4 linked regions of the Saccharomyces cerevisiae S288C genome follow. The protein of the gene in region 1 purifies or fractionates together with the protein of each later gene. This does not show direct contact. Each region holds a gene or a part of one and is shown in the gene's direction. Other genes may lie near its edges.

The links.
Region 2: the proteins of TRM732 (region 1) and TRM7 purify together in Saccharomyces cerevisiae (affinity purification with western blotting; 5 studies listed by BioGRID, with this or other methods). This does not show direct contact.
Region 3: the proteins of TRM732 (region 1) and LSB3 purify together in Saccharomyces cerevisiae (affinity purification with mass spectrometry, with the first as the bait; one large-scale study listed by BioGRID). This does not show direct contact.
Region 4: the proteins of TRM732 (region 1) and CLB1 purify together in Saccharomyces cerevisiae (affinity purification with mass spectrometry, with the first as the bait; one large-scale study listed by BioGRID). This does not show direct contact.

What each region holds. Positions count from the first base shown.
Region 1 is NC_001145.3:783,756-790,482, reverse strand, and holds TRM732 (tRNA methylation protein TRM732), read left to right. Parts: upstream 1-1,599; coding exon 1,600-5,862; downstream 5,863-6,727. Other genes in the region: TPS3 (trehalose 6-phosphate synthase/phosphatase complex subunit), read left to right, coding at 1-278; TIF11 (translation initiation complex factor eIF1A), read left to right, coding at 644-1,105; ROY1 (Roy1p), read left to right, coding at 6,202-6,727. UniProt on the Saccharomyces cerevisiae protein: Together with methyltransferase TRM7, methylates the 2'-O-ribose of nucleotides at position 32 of the anticodon loop of substrate tRNAs.
Region 2 is NC_001134.8:363,979-367,482, reverse strand, and holds TRM7 (tRNA methyltransferase TRM7), read left to right. Parts: upstream 1-1,763; coding exon 1,764-2,696; downstream 2,697-3,504. Other genes in the region: CNM1 (Cnm1p), read left to right, coding at 1-513; YBR062C (uncharacterized protein), read left to right, coding at 883-898, 981-1,507.
Region 3 is NC_001138.5:201,332-205,347, reverse strand, and holds LSB3 (Lsb3p), read left to right. Parts: upstream 1-1,914; coding exon 1,915-1,961; intron 1,962-2,055; coding exon 2,056-3,388; downstream 3,389-4,016. Other genes in the region: HIS2 (histidinol-phosphatase), read left to right, coding at 598-1,605; PES4 (Pes4p), read right to left, coding at 3,639-4,016.
Region 4 is NC_001139.9:701,801-705,617, forward strand, and holds CLB1 (B-type cyclin CLB1), read left to right. Parts: upstream 1-1,835; coding exon 1,836-3,251; downstream 3,252-3,817. Other genes in the region: B-type cyclin CLB6, read right to left, coding at 3,559-3,817. UniProt on the Saccharomyces cerevisiae protein: Essential for the control of the cell cycle at the G2/M (mitosis) transition. Interacts with the CDC2 protein kinase to form MPF. G2/M cyclins accumulate steadily during G2 and are abruptly destroyed at mitosis.

The sequences.
Region 1 (6,727 bases):
ACAATAGCAGAATATCTCTATCAAGAACATCCTCTTCGATGTCCGTCGGTAATAATAAGAAGCATTTCCAAAACCAGGTAGATTTCGTTTGCGTTTCCGGTTCGACATCACCTATTATTGAACCATTATTTAAATTAGTGAAGCAAGAGGTTGAAAAGAACAATCTAAAATTTGGTTACACCATTCTTTACGGTAGCTCAAGATCCACTTATGCCAAGGAACATATCAATGGTGTCAATGAACTTTTTACCATCCTTCATGACTTGACAGCCGCCTAAGCGATCATTTTCCCTCCTGTACTTTCAAAATGTTCTCTTTCTTATTCTTCAGTTATAGTTTTTACGAGCGATTATAAATATAAAAGTACGATCTTCCTTTTACGTATATATGTATATACAGCACGATAAATTACAAACAAGTTTCAACTAACAATGTGGGTTATTTCTCATATTGTTAATGAGATCTTATAATAATCATTATACACGAACGCTATTTTTCACTTTTTTTTCATTTTTGTTTTCGCCGCAAGAAGTAATAGTGAAAAATTGAAAAAAGCTTCAATTTTAGTTTGCTGAAAGAAACCTTTACTTATGTAGAAGGTGTACTTGCAAAAGCACTAGTGTAATATAGAGCAAAGTTCATCATGGGTAAGAAAAACACTAAAGGTGGTAAAAAAGGTAGAAGAGGTAAGAACGACTCTGACGGTCCAAAGCGTGAACTTATTTATAAGGAAGAAGGCCAAGAATATGCTCAAATCACCAAGATGTTGGGTAATGGAAGAGTCGAAGCCAGTTGCTTTGATGGTAATAAGAGAATGGCCCATATTAGAGGTAAGTTAAGAAAGAAAGTCTGGATGGGACAAGGTGATATTATTCTTGTTTCCTTAAGAGATTTCCAAGATGACCAATGTGATGTTGTCCACAAATATAATTTAGATGAAGCCAGAACACTGAAAAACCAAGGTGAACTTCCTGAAAACGCCAAAATTAATGAAACAGACAACTTTGGTTTCGAATCTGATGAAGACGTTAACTTTGAATTTGGTAACGCTGATGAAGATGATGAGGAAGGTGAAGATGAAGAACTTGATATTGATGACATTTAATTTAGGCCGAACAAGTGTCCTCAATATCTTCTAATGCGTCAACTATTCATAATTTATTTATAATTATATTTTTTAGTCCATCATAGGAAAGGGTTTTCTTTTTACTATATCGAAATACTTATATATAGATATCAAAAAAAGAATAAAAATGAAATACCTCAAGAAGTCGTTTAATCTTCCTTCTAGGGTTTCTTTCAAGCGGACGTTAAGGAGACGTAATAAAAATTTTCTCGCACGAGAAATTTGAGCAAAGAGCACGTTGCGAATACGTTTTATCCATTCATCGTTTTTAATTTATTACCTTTTCTTTCGATGCTGTTTATTGTCACTCATGAGTGCTTCCGTTTTTTCCATCGAAAATTTACTTTTTTAGACTGAAAAGAAAATGAAAAGTTAAAATAAATTTTTACCAGAAAATGCTCATCGCAGGAAAATGACAATACTATTGTGAGCTTCCCGAGGTACACATTACTTCATACTGAAAGTTTCAAAAAATGACTACGGATGTGCAATTTTCAAGTCAGGAAATCGAGCTTTTCCGTGTCAAAGAATTCTTGATTGCTAATAATCCAGCAAAGATCAACAATGAAAATAAGGATGCTGTTTTAACTCAGATTGAGCATGATTTCAGGTATTTAATACAGTATATCAAGGACGGATTACCGAACTTAAATGAGTCCACAAGGTTAATTTTTCCAGATACCTTTTCGATCTGTTTACTAAGGAGCCATCAAATAATTGCAAGCAAAAAAATTGACTCTCAAGAATTTTTATCGGCGGTAAAAGAGCAACTCTTAACTGAAGCGAATGCAAATATTATCTTTGAATATGTTCTTGACTTTTGGGCTGATGGTGGAGCCCCACTGATGAATGCCTTGAGAGATTTATTCAGTAAACTACTGAACTTATTGAAAATCACATATCCTATGTCAACCTTGAAGGATGTTTTATTTAATTGGATGAATGAAATATTAGAAGTACCATCTACGTTGCGTGTTCAGTATTACTTGATTGATGCCCTTTCTTCTGATTTTGACCTTTATTATATTATAGAAAAAAAGCCTCATTTCATCGATAACTCTTTTTCATTAATGAACTCTGATTTGCTAGCAAATTCGGTAGGTAAATGCATTGTTAGTTTGCTGTTAAACATTTACGAAAAGCATTTCAAAAAGAACGAGTCTTTTGTACAAGAATGGATACAATTATGGAAAAGTTGTGCTTTAAAGTACATTCACGACAAACAATACACCAAATCCATTAATCTGTATATTATGATTCCATTATTCAAAAATATGCCAAACTCGGCCTTCACACTTTTCCTAGAATGTATGTCTAACAAAGACCCATCACTTTTGCTCTCACTTTTAAAGATTGGCCAAGAATTGGGGATTGAAGAAGAACCATTTTGTGATAATAAATATACCACTGTAGATTCTGTTAACAAACTCATAGAGCAAGATGAGTATAAACTTCAGGTATTTGAAATACTGACCTTTTCGACAAAAAAGTCAAAGCCTATTCGTCCCTTCGTCTTCAAAACTATAAAACAGTACCTATATGTGTTCTTCGTGGACACTGAACTTGAACGCAGAAATTACTTTTGCAGTTCGATGAAACACTTTATATTTAGAACCAGAGACTGCGCATACTCTTTAGCTAGGGATGCCAGAAAGCTTAAAAAGGCTGAGAAATTTCCGGACGAACAGAGGGAAAAGTTGGCGCAAGTTGAGGAGGCTAGAGCCTTTTTGGTTTGGCTATGCAATTTTATAAAATATAATTTGGCCCCTGGTACTTTATATCAGGCGAACGTGACCTCATTAAAACTTATGCACATTCTGATCAAGTCTGGTGTTGATAAATCTACTCCACAAAAATTTTTAGACAACCAAAATAAGAGGGAATATCCTTTTTCTATCCCAATTTTACAGGATGTCACATTTTTAAGGTTGCTCATTGACCTTTTGGTTAGTAATTATGCTGACGTGCGCGAATTATCTAAAGAAATGCTATTTATAATGATAAGCGCTGATGAATCTAGAGGTCTTTTTTTGGATACCTTAGACGCAAATGCTTTGAAGTGGACTGCAACCTCTCTTTTAAGTGACTATGAGAAAGGTGATGCTGGAGCTACCGTATATGAGTTCATATTCACAGTCATGGGCTCTCAAAGAAGCTTCATTGACCAGACAATTGATATATTAGCGCAGATGGTACAAAATTTGCAAAATGACAGCATTGGTTGTGCAGAAAATTCAATCGGTCCTCACTTTGCTGCACTAAGCTTGATTTTGAATAAGTTTAACTCTGAAGAAAACCATCAAGATACTTCAAAAATAATCTCAAAATTAATAAATCTTGTACTCAAGAGCTGGGAAGCAACGAGAAATGTAGTGTGTCATGATTCTGCCCATGGAATACTACCTGAAAAATATGCTAATTGTGGTGTACCGGACCAAGTTATAATAAGTCACGCATTTAGGGCGATAAAAGAAGCATCATATTTACTTGAAACAATATTAAAAAAATACCCTTTAACAAGAGATCAATTAGACAGTATCGGCGATCTTTTTATTGTTCAGCTTTCTACTATTCGTCATAGTGGCGCCTTCCAAGCCGTTTTACCGGGGCTAAAGGCATTTTGTATTCGTTGTCAACTTGAATTTCCCGCTATTCTGGAAGAACTTTTAAGCAAGAGTGTAAAATCTTTAAAATCCAAAACTCAACATATTACAAGAAGGTCAGGAGGCTTGCCTTTCTTGGTCACAACCGTCTTAAGTGCAGAAGTTACCAAAGGGAGACCTTTGTTACAAAAAACTTTTGAAAACTTACTACTCGTTGCAAGGTTACCAATTCCTCCCCATCAAGATGAGTTTGATTTACCACAGGTTAATGCTATTAATTGTATAAACGCAATCTTTGTTGAACCGAAGCTCTCTGTACACTGTACGTCATTTGTCTCAGAGGCATTAGAACTAGCTTTATTGAATTTCGACTGTGATATATGGGCTCTAAGAAACTGTTCTATCATGCTGTTTACCTCCTTGCAAAATAGAATTTTTGGAAAAGTGGGCAGAAGCGTTAGTGCAAAATTATTCTTTACCAAATATTCTGGCTTGAGGCAACTGCTTTTGAATATTCTAAACAGTTCTATTGCTCAATATTCGGGAAGTGAAAGAAAATCATATCAAATTGAAAGCATTTTCTTGGTCCTTAATGTGCTACTGAGGTTACGGCCTACAGCTGGCTATACTGGTCTAAAAGAATTCAACGTTTCTGTTTATGAATGTTTATCAAATGAGAACTGGAAGATCAGAGATATGGCCTCTAGAGTATTGCATATGCTGTCGGAAAATTTTGAAGAAGAGATAAGAAAATTACTTGACTTGGCTTCTATCGCGAAGCAAAACCAGTTACATGGACACTTACTAGCACTCCAACAACTAGTACCACAATACCTTTCAGGAACTAGAGATATGGAGTTGATTCAAAGGATACTTGAAAAGAAAAGGATGCTTCTACTAGAGAACAAGTGCTTTATCACTAAAAAGGCCTACTTAAAATTGACCTGCTGTATATTGGAAACATGCGACATACCTGATTCTATTTTAAAAGATTATATCAGCACTTTGCGGAACACATTTATTGCTGAAAATAACGAATATGTTGTGGATGGTAGCAAACAGCTATATCTTGCACAAATCTTAGACATGCTCTTAAAATATGAGGATAGTATATATCTCGATGATATTTGCTTATTAGGATTGTATTCTCCATTTTATGAGGCTCAGCTCAGTACACTACAGTACATGAATACTAACTTTCACTGGGAAACTACAAGAAACTCAGAATTTCTTGAACAACTACAATTATTACTCAGGGTTCCAGATTTGCTGCCTATGGCTAAAGCTTTAGTAGTGAAAATTCTCTCAAGAAAAAAGAATACTTTATCCCTGACGACCTGCACTGATCTCCTAAAAACAAATAATAGTGAAGATACAAAACTTGCTGCCGTTTCATCACTAAGTGCTAAATTGTCTTCGCAAACCTTTCACCAGGTATGGAACTTGTTACAAGGATTTTTCGCCGATTCTTGTTCAAAAGATTTTAGATTGGCATCTTTAGAATGTTTAACTGCTTATCCAGAAAGTTGTAAGAACTCCAGAATACTATTACAACTGTACAACTTCTTATGGGACGATGATTCTGAAATAAGAGAAAAGGCTTCTTTTTATTTGAATAAGAACTTTATTCAAACTGCAGACTGGGAATATAACAGGAACACCAGTGTGACCGCTCTTATATTCACAAAAAAGTTTGTTGACGTATTCACAAGTTCTGAGGTGGTAGAAGAGTTGTGTTTACAGTTGTTTCAATATCTAAATGAATATGATATGTTTGCTGCCGAAGAATCGGCGAAGAATTGTCTATTTACTATAGAAAAGGATAACCAGTTCATCAACGAACTACAAAAGGCAATGCATATATTAAATATGATAAAATTGACTGGAAGGGATATCTCAAAGTGTTACAAAGACCAGATACATCACCTAAAAAGTGCTCTATTGGAGCACTTCAACACCGAGGATTTTAAAGATTCCCCACTCGGCTGGTGCTCTAATGCTGAAATATTTTCAAGAATAACGCTTTTAAAGGAACTGATTCAACATTATTCTCCTTCTGATTATGAGAATTTTATCAATGTTCTGACTAAACATTCTGTTCATCCCCTAATTATCAGTTATTCCCAATTATAAATAATGAATATGTACAGATATATACTTTGCATATAATCTGATTCATCTCTAACCTACTTGTGGATTTAGTGACGAGATTCATTGTGGAACCTATTACAAAGCATGTCGATTTCTATTCTAAATACAATGATGGAACTTGATTTAATTTCTTTACCGTTGTCATTTTCTTTTGAATTTTTTCCACCTCTTTTTTTGTTGAAAAATGTTCATGGATGGAAAATTAAAGGTGTGCCCTATTACAAAAGCAAGTTGTACCCCTTTACTAACTCTCTAGTCAATTTGAACTATTGTGAAAACGACAGTTGTGCTCACATGATATAACAAAAGTAATACTGACAAATGGCATTCCAAGATCAAGATATATTCATAGTGTTCTCGCATGCCTCCTTATTTCTTAATCAAAATGATTTATTAAGCCTAAGTCTAACATCCAAAAAAATGCATGACATGATTGCAATCCCTCGTCTTTATAGCAATATTCACATAACTAAGAATCCTGTTTTAAGAACAAACAAATGGTTTTTGGACGGGGGAAAAACTTATGTAAGTGGTTATAGATCTGTTCTGAAAACCGGTGACAAGAATGACATATTTTTATATGATAGAATTGAAAGGTTGTTGGAGACATCGCATTTAAAATGTATAAAACAGCTGACTATTGACGAGGATTTGTTTCACAACAGGGAAGAAGGATTGCAACTGTTACAAAGATTGGTCAATGAAATCACTGACTTGGACGTGATTGAAAGTCTTGACATCAAGGATCCTACCTTGTTTGAGTTATGTTCAGCAAAGTATTATCGCCTGTCAAGTTTAAAGAAGAGAGTAGTATATGGCGAAACTGGATTTGATGGTATCAAATTAT
Region 2 (3,504 bases), on another chromosome or scaffold:
AATGAAACGCCGTTTAAAGGTATTGAAAAAAGTATTAACGAAACAATGGTTAAAGTTCCTATGGGATGCGATGTATCTCTCTCCCATTATGGCAGACAATACGCGCCTGGAAATATTTCAATTATGAGAAGCTTCACTGCTCGAGATAATACTAAATCTGTGAGTAGAGAAATTCGTGATATCTGTAAATCGTTTTTGATTATAAAAAGCCAATTTGGTGACGAACTTTTCCTGACTATGTTCATGGAAAAACCAGTTTTCTTTGATAACAACATCCCAATTGAAATAACTGGAGCATACCGAGAAAAACGAGAGCGATTAGATGAAGTGATTCATAAGGATCTTATCCGCTATGATGAAGTTCAAAATTTGACAAGGATTCGCAATTTGCTCCGGGTTAAAAGTCAAAAGATTTGTTCCAGGAGACATAATAGTTCGGTTCCCACAAAAAAATTGTTAGTTAATGATAAAGGCGCAACTTCGATTCTACTGTGGTACTCTAACTATTCATAGATAAAGTTTATTTGATACATAATCCGGAAAATGTAAGATATGCCAACTGTTAACTAGAAAACATCTGTACTCTATATATCGGAAACAAAAACTTTACGGGTACAACCATGATGAATAAGCTCGAAATTTTTGCCTTCCATATGAGTCCCATTTTGGTGACCAACTCTCCTACCCGAATTACTGTGATGATATATACTCTTCGTTTTCTAGTAATGGCTTCATTTTGCCTAAGTTGGTCAAAATTGTTGTGGGCGGCTTTTGTTTGCACCGAGGAGCGCTCAGTTCGTTATAATACCAGTTTTGCCACTCCTAAACTACTAAAGAAATAATAGAAAGATATATTCATCAAACATAATCACAATCAAAAAAATGTCTACATATGAAGGTATGTAATGATATATTATGAAGTAAGTTCCCCAAAGCCAATTAACTAACCGAATTTTAATCTGCACTCATCATTAGATTAGAGGAACATGGAATACAACAAAACTCAAGGGATTACCAAGAAGTAGGAGGAACTTCACAGGAGGAGCAGAGAAGACAGGTCAGATCCCAACTGCAAGGTCTATTTCAAAACTTTGGTAACACCAGTGGTGAGGGTGATGCACATTCAGATTCAACACTACTTTTACGATTATTATCGCAAATGCTTCCAGAATCATTACAGGAAGAATGGTTGCAAGAAATGGATAAAGGCAAGAGTGCGGGCTGTCCTGATACTTTTGCAGCCTCTTTACCACGAATCAATAAAAAAAAGCTCAAAGCAACTGACAACTGCTCCATTTGTTACACTAATTATTTAGAAGATGAGTACCCCTTAGTAGTTGAATTACCTCATTGCCATCATAAGTTCGACTTAGAGTGTTTGTCTGTCTGGCTATCTCGAAGTACAACATGTCCATTATGCAGAGATAATGTTATGGGCCACCGAATCATTAATGAGATTGATACAACTGAAGCAGAACTGGAAGAAGATTGGGGTATGTACGGTTAATATCTTTCTTTTATATTATATAAAGACACCAAACCTAAGTAGAATAGGTAACTACGTCTTCTTTCACAGAAGACAGACCTACAAGTATTTTGATTATCATGATGAAGTAAAAGCAACGATAAACTTTTTACTAGGTATTATTATTCTGCGCTAACAATAATTATCGCGAGTTGAAAATTTTCAAGCGATGCTCCTAACATTACTGTAAAACAACAGTAGATGAGTACAAGGCAAGCTTAAAAAGAAAGTATTCAAGATGGGTAAGAGCAGCAAAGATAAAAGAGATTTGTACTATAGAAAAGCAAAAGAGCAGGGCTATAGGGCTAGATCTGCTTTCAAACTACTTCAACTCAATGACCAATTTCATTTCCTGGATGATCCAAACTTAAAAAGAGTTGTAGATTTGTGTGCAGCACCAGGTTCATGGTCACAAGTGCTCTCGAGAAAACTGTTTGATGAAAGTCCCAGTTCAGATAAGGAGGACAGGAAAATTGTCTCTGTCGATTTACAACCGATGTCCCCCATACCTCATGTGACAACGTTGCAAGCCGATATCACTCATCCTAAAACATTGGCGAGGATTCTAAAACTGTTTGGCAACGAAAAGGCCGATTTTGTTTGTAGTGATGGTGCACCTGATGTTACTGGGTTACACGATCTTGACGAATACGTGCAACAACAGTTAATTATGAGTGCGCTGCAACTTACTGCATGCATTCTGAAAAAAGGTGGAACTTTTGTGGCAAAGATCTTCAGAGGTCGTGATATAGATATGCTATATTCCCAATTGGGCTATCTATTCGATAAAATCGTTTGCGCAAAGCCAAGATCATCAAGAGGTACATCTCTGGAAGCTTTTATTGTTTGTTTAGGCTATAACCCACCATCCAATTGGACACCAAAATTAGATGTAAATACATCCGTTGATGAATTTTTTCAAGGCTGTTTTTTGAATAAATTGTGTATATCAGACAAATTGTCTCATTGGAATGAAGAGGAGAGAAACATAGCCGAATTTATGGCTTGTGGAAGTCTTCAAAGTTTCGACTCAGATGCCACTTATCATGACCTACCTTCTTCGGTTGCAGGCACTTCATCGTCCTTAGATCCTGTTCAAAGCCCGACGAACCCTCCCTACAAGAAAGCTTTGGAATTAAAAAGGAGCGGGAAACTCACTAGATCAGTTTGATTGCAATATTACTACCTCTAATCAAACAATTAAATAAGTCACTACATTATAAGATTATCTACAAAATCAACTTTTCCTTGCAATCATTAAAAACGATATAGGTTACGGTTATGTAGAATATCCATTGTATAATATAAAAGAAAATGAAACAGTAATTATATTATATTATATTACATGCAAGCATTGAGGAGTATGGCAATCATTTTTCTTCTTTTTTACTTCACCTCGTCTCTTAAAACATCTGCTTTCGAATTTGCGAGTAATAGAACTTTCGAATTGTGACAGAACCATTGAGAACATGGTGAATCTGTCAATATTACAACCCAAAAGCCGGTTGGTGGTAAACCGTAGTACGGAGCATTACAAAGGATTCCATCGTATAAATTATGCATAAGCATCACCTTGATCCATTTGCCTTGCTCCTATTGCCCTGCTTGTTTGTAGGAAAGCCCCTTTTGGTCAAACGAATTGTTCAGTTCGGGTTTACGCATTACATATCTCCTTTTTAGATACAAAAACCTCGAAACGCTCACATAAACCCGGTTGTTCTTTTGAGTACCTGGCCAATGGAGACATAGCTTGGGGTTAAGTAAAAGTGAAAGTCAGGTTGATACATGTGCCTTTTATTCCACCGAAGAAAGCTTATCCAACATAAGAGCATTATTTAATGGGCTTTCCAATTTATTATTGGCATACACTTCTTTCAAAAATTCGCCGGTCTCAACGGCAGCAAGTGCTCAGCAGATGGAAATTATACGTTAATACTTTTTCCAATGTGATATAACGAAAAATTAGATACTGTGAATTG
Region 3 (4,016 bases), on another chromosome or scaffold:
TGATAATATTATTACGTAGAATTCTCTTTTTTGGATTCAGGATCAGTGAGGACAGCTTCTAGTATATTCTGCATACCTAAATGCTATTCTTTTTTTTATCAATTTGATTTACTAAATGCTATTTATCCCAAATAATCCATATAAGATTTTAATCTAGATGGAGGGTAAAAGCGCGGAAACATGAGTGTAAACTGATTGTGCAGATATTTACACATTTGAGTAGCTCGTCAAGGGCAATCAAGCTTTCAATCTTGCCGGTTTCATACATGTTGATAAGCTAATGAAACTACTAATGTCTTGCTGTAAAGTAAACCTGTATCATTTCTGTTTGGAAGATTTCAACAAACGTTCGGGCGTGTGGCGTAGTCGGTAGCGCGCTCCCTTAGCATGGGAGAGGTCTCCGGTTCGATTCCGGACTCGTCCATTTAAATTTTTTTATTTTTTTTGTCAAATCTCTCTATCTATAGAGATAATCTCTATCAACTCAAATGATACTGGATATTATATGTACATTTTCCATTTCCCGTACAATCTTTCCCTTTCAAACACATTTTAGTACTTCTTGATACGTACAATTCAGTAAAAATCCTCGAGGTCATGCACTCACACCATTCACACTCCGGTGACTATAGTGCCCACGGTACGGACCCTTTGGATTCCGTGGTCGATCAAGTGGTCAACCTCAACTTTCACACGTACTGTTTGACAGAGCACATACCAAGAATTGAGGCCAAGTTTATATACCCCGAAGAGCAGTCATTGGGCAAGAATCCTGAGGAAGTCATAACCAAGCTAGAAACATCGTTCAAGAATTTCATGAGTCATGCGCAAGAAATCAAGACTCGTTATGCTGATAGACCCGATGTGCGGACTAAATTCATTATAGGAATGGAGATCGAAAGTTGTGACATGGCTCATATCGAATATGCAAAGCGACTCATGAAGGAGAATAATGATATTTTGAAGTTTTGTGTGGGTTCGGTCCATCACGTCAACGGGATCCCTATTGATTTCGACCAACAACAATGGTACAATTCATTGCATTCCTTCAATGATAATTTGAAACATTTTCTCCTGTCTTACTTCCAATCACAGTACGAAATGCTGATCAATATTAAACCGTTGGTCGTGGGTCACTTCGACCTTTACAAATTATTTTTGCCCAATGACATGCTAGTAAACCAGAAATCGGGCAACTGCAACGAAGAAACCGGAGTTCCTGTAGCTTCACTGGACGTCATCAGTGAATGGCCAGAAATATACGATGCAGTTGTAAGAAATTTACAATTTATAGACTCCTATGGCGGCGCAATTGAAATCAATACGTCCGCATTAAGAAAGCGCCTCGAGGAGCCGTACCCCAGCAAAACCTTATGTAATCTGGTCAAGAAGCACTGTGGATCCAGATTTGTTCTAAGTGATGACGCACACGGCGTGGCGCAAGTGGGTGTGTGCTATGACAAGGTAAAGAAATACATAGTAGACGTGCTACAATTAGAGTATATTTGCTACCTTGAGGAAAGCCAATCACCAGAGAATCTGTTAACTGTAAAGAGATTACCCATTTCGCAATTCGTTAATGATCCCTTTTGGGCCAATATATAATCTGATTATCTTGAACTGGATGTACATAAAAAAAAACTGTCATATAAACTCATGTACAGCTGTGTAGAAGTGAATGATCTTTCCAAGAAAAAAATTTCACACTGAATTGATTGAATTGACTGCTCATTTTATATTGGGTGCCCAAATTGTCTTTCTTTATTGTTCGTTTAGTAGCAGCACCCTGTTTGCTCGCCGACTCGGCCGCATCTGGAAGTTCAACATGAAAGAGTATAAACTATCGAAGAAATCTAGAACGGCTTTGGATCACGGGTGGCAAAGAAATCAAAAACAAAAGCTGTATCACACGCAATGGGTATTAACAATCCTATTCCAAGGAGTTTAAAGAGTGAGACAAAGTATGTTTTATACGGGTTTGGCTGGGAAACCTTTAAAAAAGTTCTCCCTTAATTTGTTCATCATTTACTAACTAGTAATAAACAATTAATAAAGAAAAGCAGCGAAGATTTTGGCTAGTTTTGTCAAACCAAACCAAGTTTTTGGTGCGGACCAAGTCATTCCTCCAGACGTTTTGAAAAGAGCTAAAGGGTTGGCTATCATAACGATCTTAAAAGCAGGTTTTCTATTTTCAGGTAGAGCTGGTTCTGGTGTGATTGTCGCAAGATTAAAGGATGGTACTTGGTCAGCTCCATCTGCCATTGCCATGGCAGGTGCTGGTGCCGGTGGGATGGTTGGTATAGAATTGACTGATTTTGTTTTCATTTTAAATACTCAGGATGCTGTTAAGTCGTTTTCTGAATTTGGGACCATCACGTTGGGTGGTAACGTCTCCGTTTCTGCTGGGCCTCTTGGTAGAAGTGCAGAAGCAGCTGCATCAGCCTCCGCCGGTGGTGTGGCTGCAGTTTTTGCCTATTCTAAGAGTAAAGGTCTATTTGCAGGGGTTTCTGTGGAAGGTTCGGCTATTATAGAAAGAAGAGAGGCTAACAGAAAATTTTATGGTGACAATTGTACCGCGAAAATGATTTTGTCTGGTAGGATAAGACCGCCTCCAGCAGTTGATCCATTGTTTCGTGTTTTAGAGTCCAGGGCGTTTAATTACAGACCCTCCAACGGTGGTCGTGGCAGTTTCGATGACGACGAAGACGATTACTATGACGACGACGATTACTATAATGACATTCCTAGTTCATTCAGTTCTACAGATGCTTCCTCCACTAGACCTAACACAAGATCCACAAGGAGAAGAGCCCAAAGCGGTTCTCGTTATACGTTCGACGATGATGATGACGATGATGATTATGGTACTGGCTATTCAAGGAATTCAAGACTGGCTCCTACCAACAGTGGCGGTAGTGGTGGTAAATTGGATGACCCATCTGGAGCTTCAAGTTATTATGCCAGCCACAGAAGATCAGGAACTGCTCAGTCAAGGGCTCGTTCTTCAAGAAATCGTTGGGCTGATGATGAATACGATGATTATGATGATGATTATGAATCCGGGTATAGACGCGGGAATGGAAGAGATAGGACAAAAGACCGTGAAGTCGATGACTTGTCGAACAGATTTTCTAAATCTAGAATCTCGTCCGCTTCAACACCGCAAACTAGTCAGGGCAGATTCACTGCTCCAACATCCCCATCCACGTCTTCTCCAAAGGCCGTGGCATTATATAGCTTTGCAGGAGAAGAGTCCGGAGATTTACCATTCAGAAAGGGTGACGTGATCACAATTTTGAAAAAATCAGATTCTCAAAATGACTGGTGGACCGGAAGAGTCAACGGTAGAGAAGGTATATTCCCAGCAAATTACGTTGAACTAGTTTAAAAAATTTGAAGGAGAGTAAAGAATACGAGAAACGTTATTGATTTACACTTATACCTTTTGCCTTACAGTTTATCAGCACTCGGACCTAAATACATATCATATAGCAGACGGCGTCCCTCTGTCTATCCTTTTAAGAATTTTTTCCATAATAATAATTTTTAATAATATCTAAATATAACGAAAAAGATTGAATTAGTGTAAATAAAAAAAATAAATAAGGAAAACTCTAGCTAAATTAACAAAGAGACATTCATCTTTTAAATCCTAACGAGCTTGCAGCCTCTTCAATTTGTTTTTGCAATACACCTTCATGATATGGACTACTATTTAGCAACGATAAAAATTTGTCCAATATTAACACATCGCGATTCCAATAAGTGTCGAATATATACTCAGCTATTCCGTGCACATTTTCGTCTCTAGTGGCACTTGGAAATCTCATGAAATCTATACCTCTTCTTACTTGCTTTTCGAATGTTTCCAAAACTTTCTTATTGAAATTTTTATTCTTTATTAGTGATCTTGTGCTGCTATTCATTGACGAAAGATCTCTCATGTGTGGGGAGTTCAAACTATTCGCATGTGAGTACTGGTAATATGGGGTAATTTGTGGATGAGAAGAGGTGTG
Region 4 (3,817 bases), on another chromosome or scaffold:
AAATCCAGTAGGACTTAACGGTGGTTCCGAAATTCTATTTATATCATTGCTATTAGCTTTATGTATATTGGCAATTGAAGCGGTTCTTCTTCATGACATAATAGTCCATCAACTGTTCGTGCAATTGATACAAATTAATTTTGAAGGCAATATTTAAGTTTGGTTTTCTTACGCAGAATACTTTTTAAAGTATCAACTTTCGTGCATCAGCTTCTGTCAGGTTCAATGATTGTTTAATTCTGGTCTTCAGGTCATATAATTTCACACCATTTTTTATCATCGCTTCTTGAAAATTCGATGTAAGGTAAATAATAGCTTCAGTTTGTTGCATGAGTAATATGCGGAAGATAACTGATTGTTATTTTAGCAGAAATCAATCAAGATGAAAATATCCACTACTTCGAAAATACGTAGCAAGCCAAGTTCAATCGGTAATCTATAGGTTCGGCAAGAGACTTTGCAATGCTAATGTTTACATTTCCTTGCCACAGTTCTCGTTGGAAACAAGCCTAATGTTAACGTATTTTCACCCGCATTAAACTACAATTGTTTTGGACGTAAGAATTTACAGCGCAATTGTTCTTTTCTATTTTATCATTACGATTGTTCCAAGAGCTTCTTGCGTTATTTACCATATATTCTTGATCTATGAATGATAATAAACAAGAGTAAATGAATGTTTTATATGTTCATAATGACAACAACTGGGGGGGAAATGAAAATATTTATCTTCTATTCATAGTAAAAATAATCTTAAAATTGAAACTAACGCTGAAAACTGCAACAGTTACGGCATTTTTTATTGATGCGTAAAAGCATTGTCTTTGTCAATTTTTGAACTATCGAATTGCTCCATAATATCATTCATGGTGTTATCCAATTATTTAGTAAGCTTCGCTTGTACTCAGTCATTTTTTTTTTTTGCATCCAATTTTATTGAAAGTCCGCCCGCTCTGTTAAAAAAGGCGTTTCTTCCAAATTTGAATAGGACACGATCGAGATTCCCTCCGATTAATTATGTGCTACTGGCTCCTCTTTCGTCGTATTGCAAGTGGACTTTTCAACGAGGCTATGCATGCCCAGTGTCATTCTTGAAGCAGGCACACACAGACGCGCTTCAATTAGTTTTCTTTACTAGATGCATCATTTGGGCGGTTTTTCACTACCGTTTTCGAGTAGGGGCTCTCACAAAACGGGCACGACCTTTTGTTTACAACCGCCCAAAGAGGAAAAACATCAACAATCAAGAAGCGGACACAAAATATAGAAGCACCATAAAACTCACGTCAACGGTAACTTTAAATTTGTTGTATTAATTAATCATTTTCAACTTGCATTTTTACAGCATCATTTATGGGTATCCTGCAAGTTAGGTGCGGAACGTACATAACATATTACTTCAATTTGCGTTCCGCATACGGTCTGCCCAATTTGTTTTGTTTGTGATTTCCTCATTCGTCTTCCTCTGCAGAAACGGGTTTGATCCTTCTTTTATGAATACGGCGTGTAGTTATATATATTAAGTAATAGAAGTTATTGCACTTCTGTGTAAGAAGAAGATACTAGGGTGATCTATTCTAGGCAATTTTGGTTGTATTGTGTTTTTTACATTCGGCCAAACTTGAGCAGGCTGCAATTTTAGTGTCTTCGGTTTTTCCAGCGACAGTTTTACTTGTGGCTCTTGGTATAGTTTCTTAAAACTATTAAAGTTGCTAACTGGTGCAGCTGTTTAGATCACAAAAGCGTAATTAAGAATAAGATCTACCAACAAGAACAGAGCCAAAATATTTTCGTCCGTTATATCAACCATCAAAGGAAGCTTTAATCTTCTCATAATGTCACGATCCCTTTTGGTAGAGAATAGTAGAACCATTAATAGTAATGAAGAGAAGGGGGTAAACGAAAGTCAATATATCTTACAAAAGAGAAACGTCCCAAGGACCATTCTCGGTAATGTCACAAATAATGCAAATATCCTGCAAGAGATTTCTATGAACAGAAAAATTGGGATGAAGAACTTCTCAAAATTGAACAACTTCTTTCCTTTAAAGGATGATGTTTCGAGAGCCGATGACTTCACCTCCTCTTTTAATGACAGTAGACAGGGGGTGAAACAAGAAGTACTAAACAATAAGGAAAATATTCCTGAATATGGATATTCCGAGCAAGAAAAGCAGCAGTGCTCAAATGATGACTCTTTTCATACGAATTCGACTGCCTTGAGCTGTAATCGGTTGATATACTCTGAGAACAAGTCTATTTCCACTCAAATGGAATGGCAGAAAAAAATAATGAGAGAAGATTCCAAAAAAAAAAGGCCAATATCAACTCTTGTAGAGCAGGATGACCAGAAAAAGTTCAAACTCCATGAATTGACTACAGAAGAAGAGGTTCTGGAGGAGTACGAATGGGATGACCTAGATGAAGAAGATTGTGATGATCCCTTAATGGTGAGCGAAGAGGTTAATGATATCTTCGATTATTTGCATCACTTGGAAATAATCACATTGCCAAATAAGGCGAATCTCTATAAGCATAAAAATATTAAGCAAAACAGAGACATTTTGGTGAACTGGATAATCAAGATTCATAATAAGTTTGGCCTTCTGCCGGAAACTCTATATTTGGCCATAAACATAATGGATAGATTTCTTTGTGAAGAGGTGGTTCAGTTAAATAGATTGCAACTGGTTGGTACATCATGCCTGTTCATCGCATCTAAGTATGAGGAAATATACTCCCCTAGCATAAAACATTTTGCGTACGAGACAGACGGTGCATGCTCTGTGGAAGATATTAAAGAGGGTGAAAGATTTATATTGGAAAAACTCGATTTTCAAATTAGTTTCGCTAACCCAATGAATTTCTTAAGGAGAATATCAAAAGCGGATGACTATGATATCCAGTCTAGGACGTTAGCGAAGTTCCTAATGGAAATATCTATAGTGGACTTCAAGTTCATCGGGATATTACCGTCATTATGTGCCTCAGCGGCAATGTTCCTTTCGAGAAAAATGCTGGGCAAGGGCACCTGGGATGGCAACTTAATCCATTATAGTGGTGGTTACACAAAGGCAAAACTATATCCCGTTTGCCAATTACTGATGGATTATCTTGTTGGATCTACTATTCACGACGAGTTCTTGAAAAAATATCAATCGAGAAGATTTTTAAAGGCTTCCATAATTTCTATCGAATGGGCATTGAAGGTAAGGAAAAATGGATATGATATTATGACATTGCATGAGTGAAGGTGCTAGCCTACACAGAAAACCAAAATCTCACTTCCTTACTTTATCATCTATTTTATAGAAAAATCAGGCATTCATTATTCATATAACGGTTATCTCATATATATTATCACACGGTATCAGTTTTGTAGGCTGTAATAATTAATTCATTTATAAATTTTTTCTCCCATAATTGGAAAATTATCTTTAAAGTGAGGAATAATGCATTTTCTTTCTTTTTTTGAATACATAAAAGAAATAAAGAAGTATGTCTATCGATGATATTTAAGATGCAGGGGGTTAGCTGGCTATAATTTTGATCTATGTTTCAACGTTTTTGTTTACACCAGTCAAAAACCTTGAAATAAACCATGCCATGTTTAGGCTTTTTGTATTTAAGTCTCAAGGAATCTAGATTCGTATCAGGTACAGCAATATCTTCAACTAGTTCACTGATAAAATCCTTAAACGCTGGATCTGATTCAATATCAATGCCGCCACTATAATGAATAAAAGTTTCATCCCATTTGGAATTTTCATTTTTAATTTTTCTGGCGATATACATGGACATTGCAGCTAAATATGAT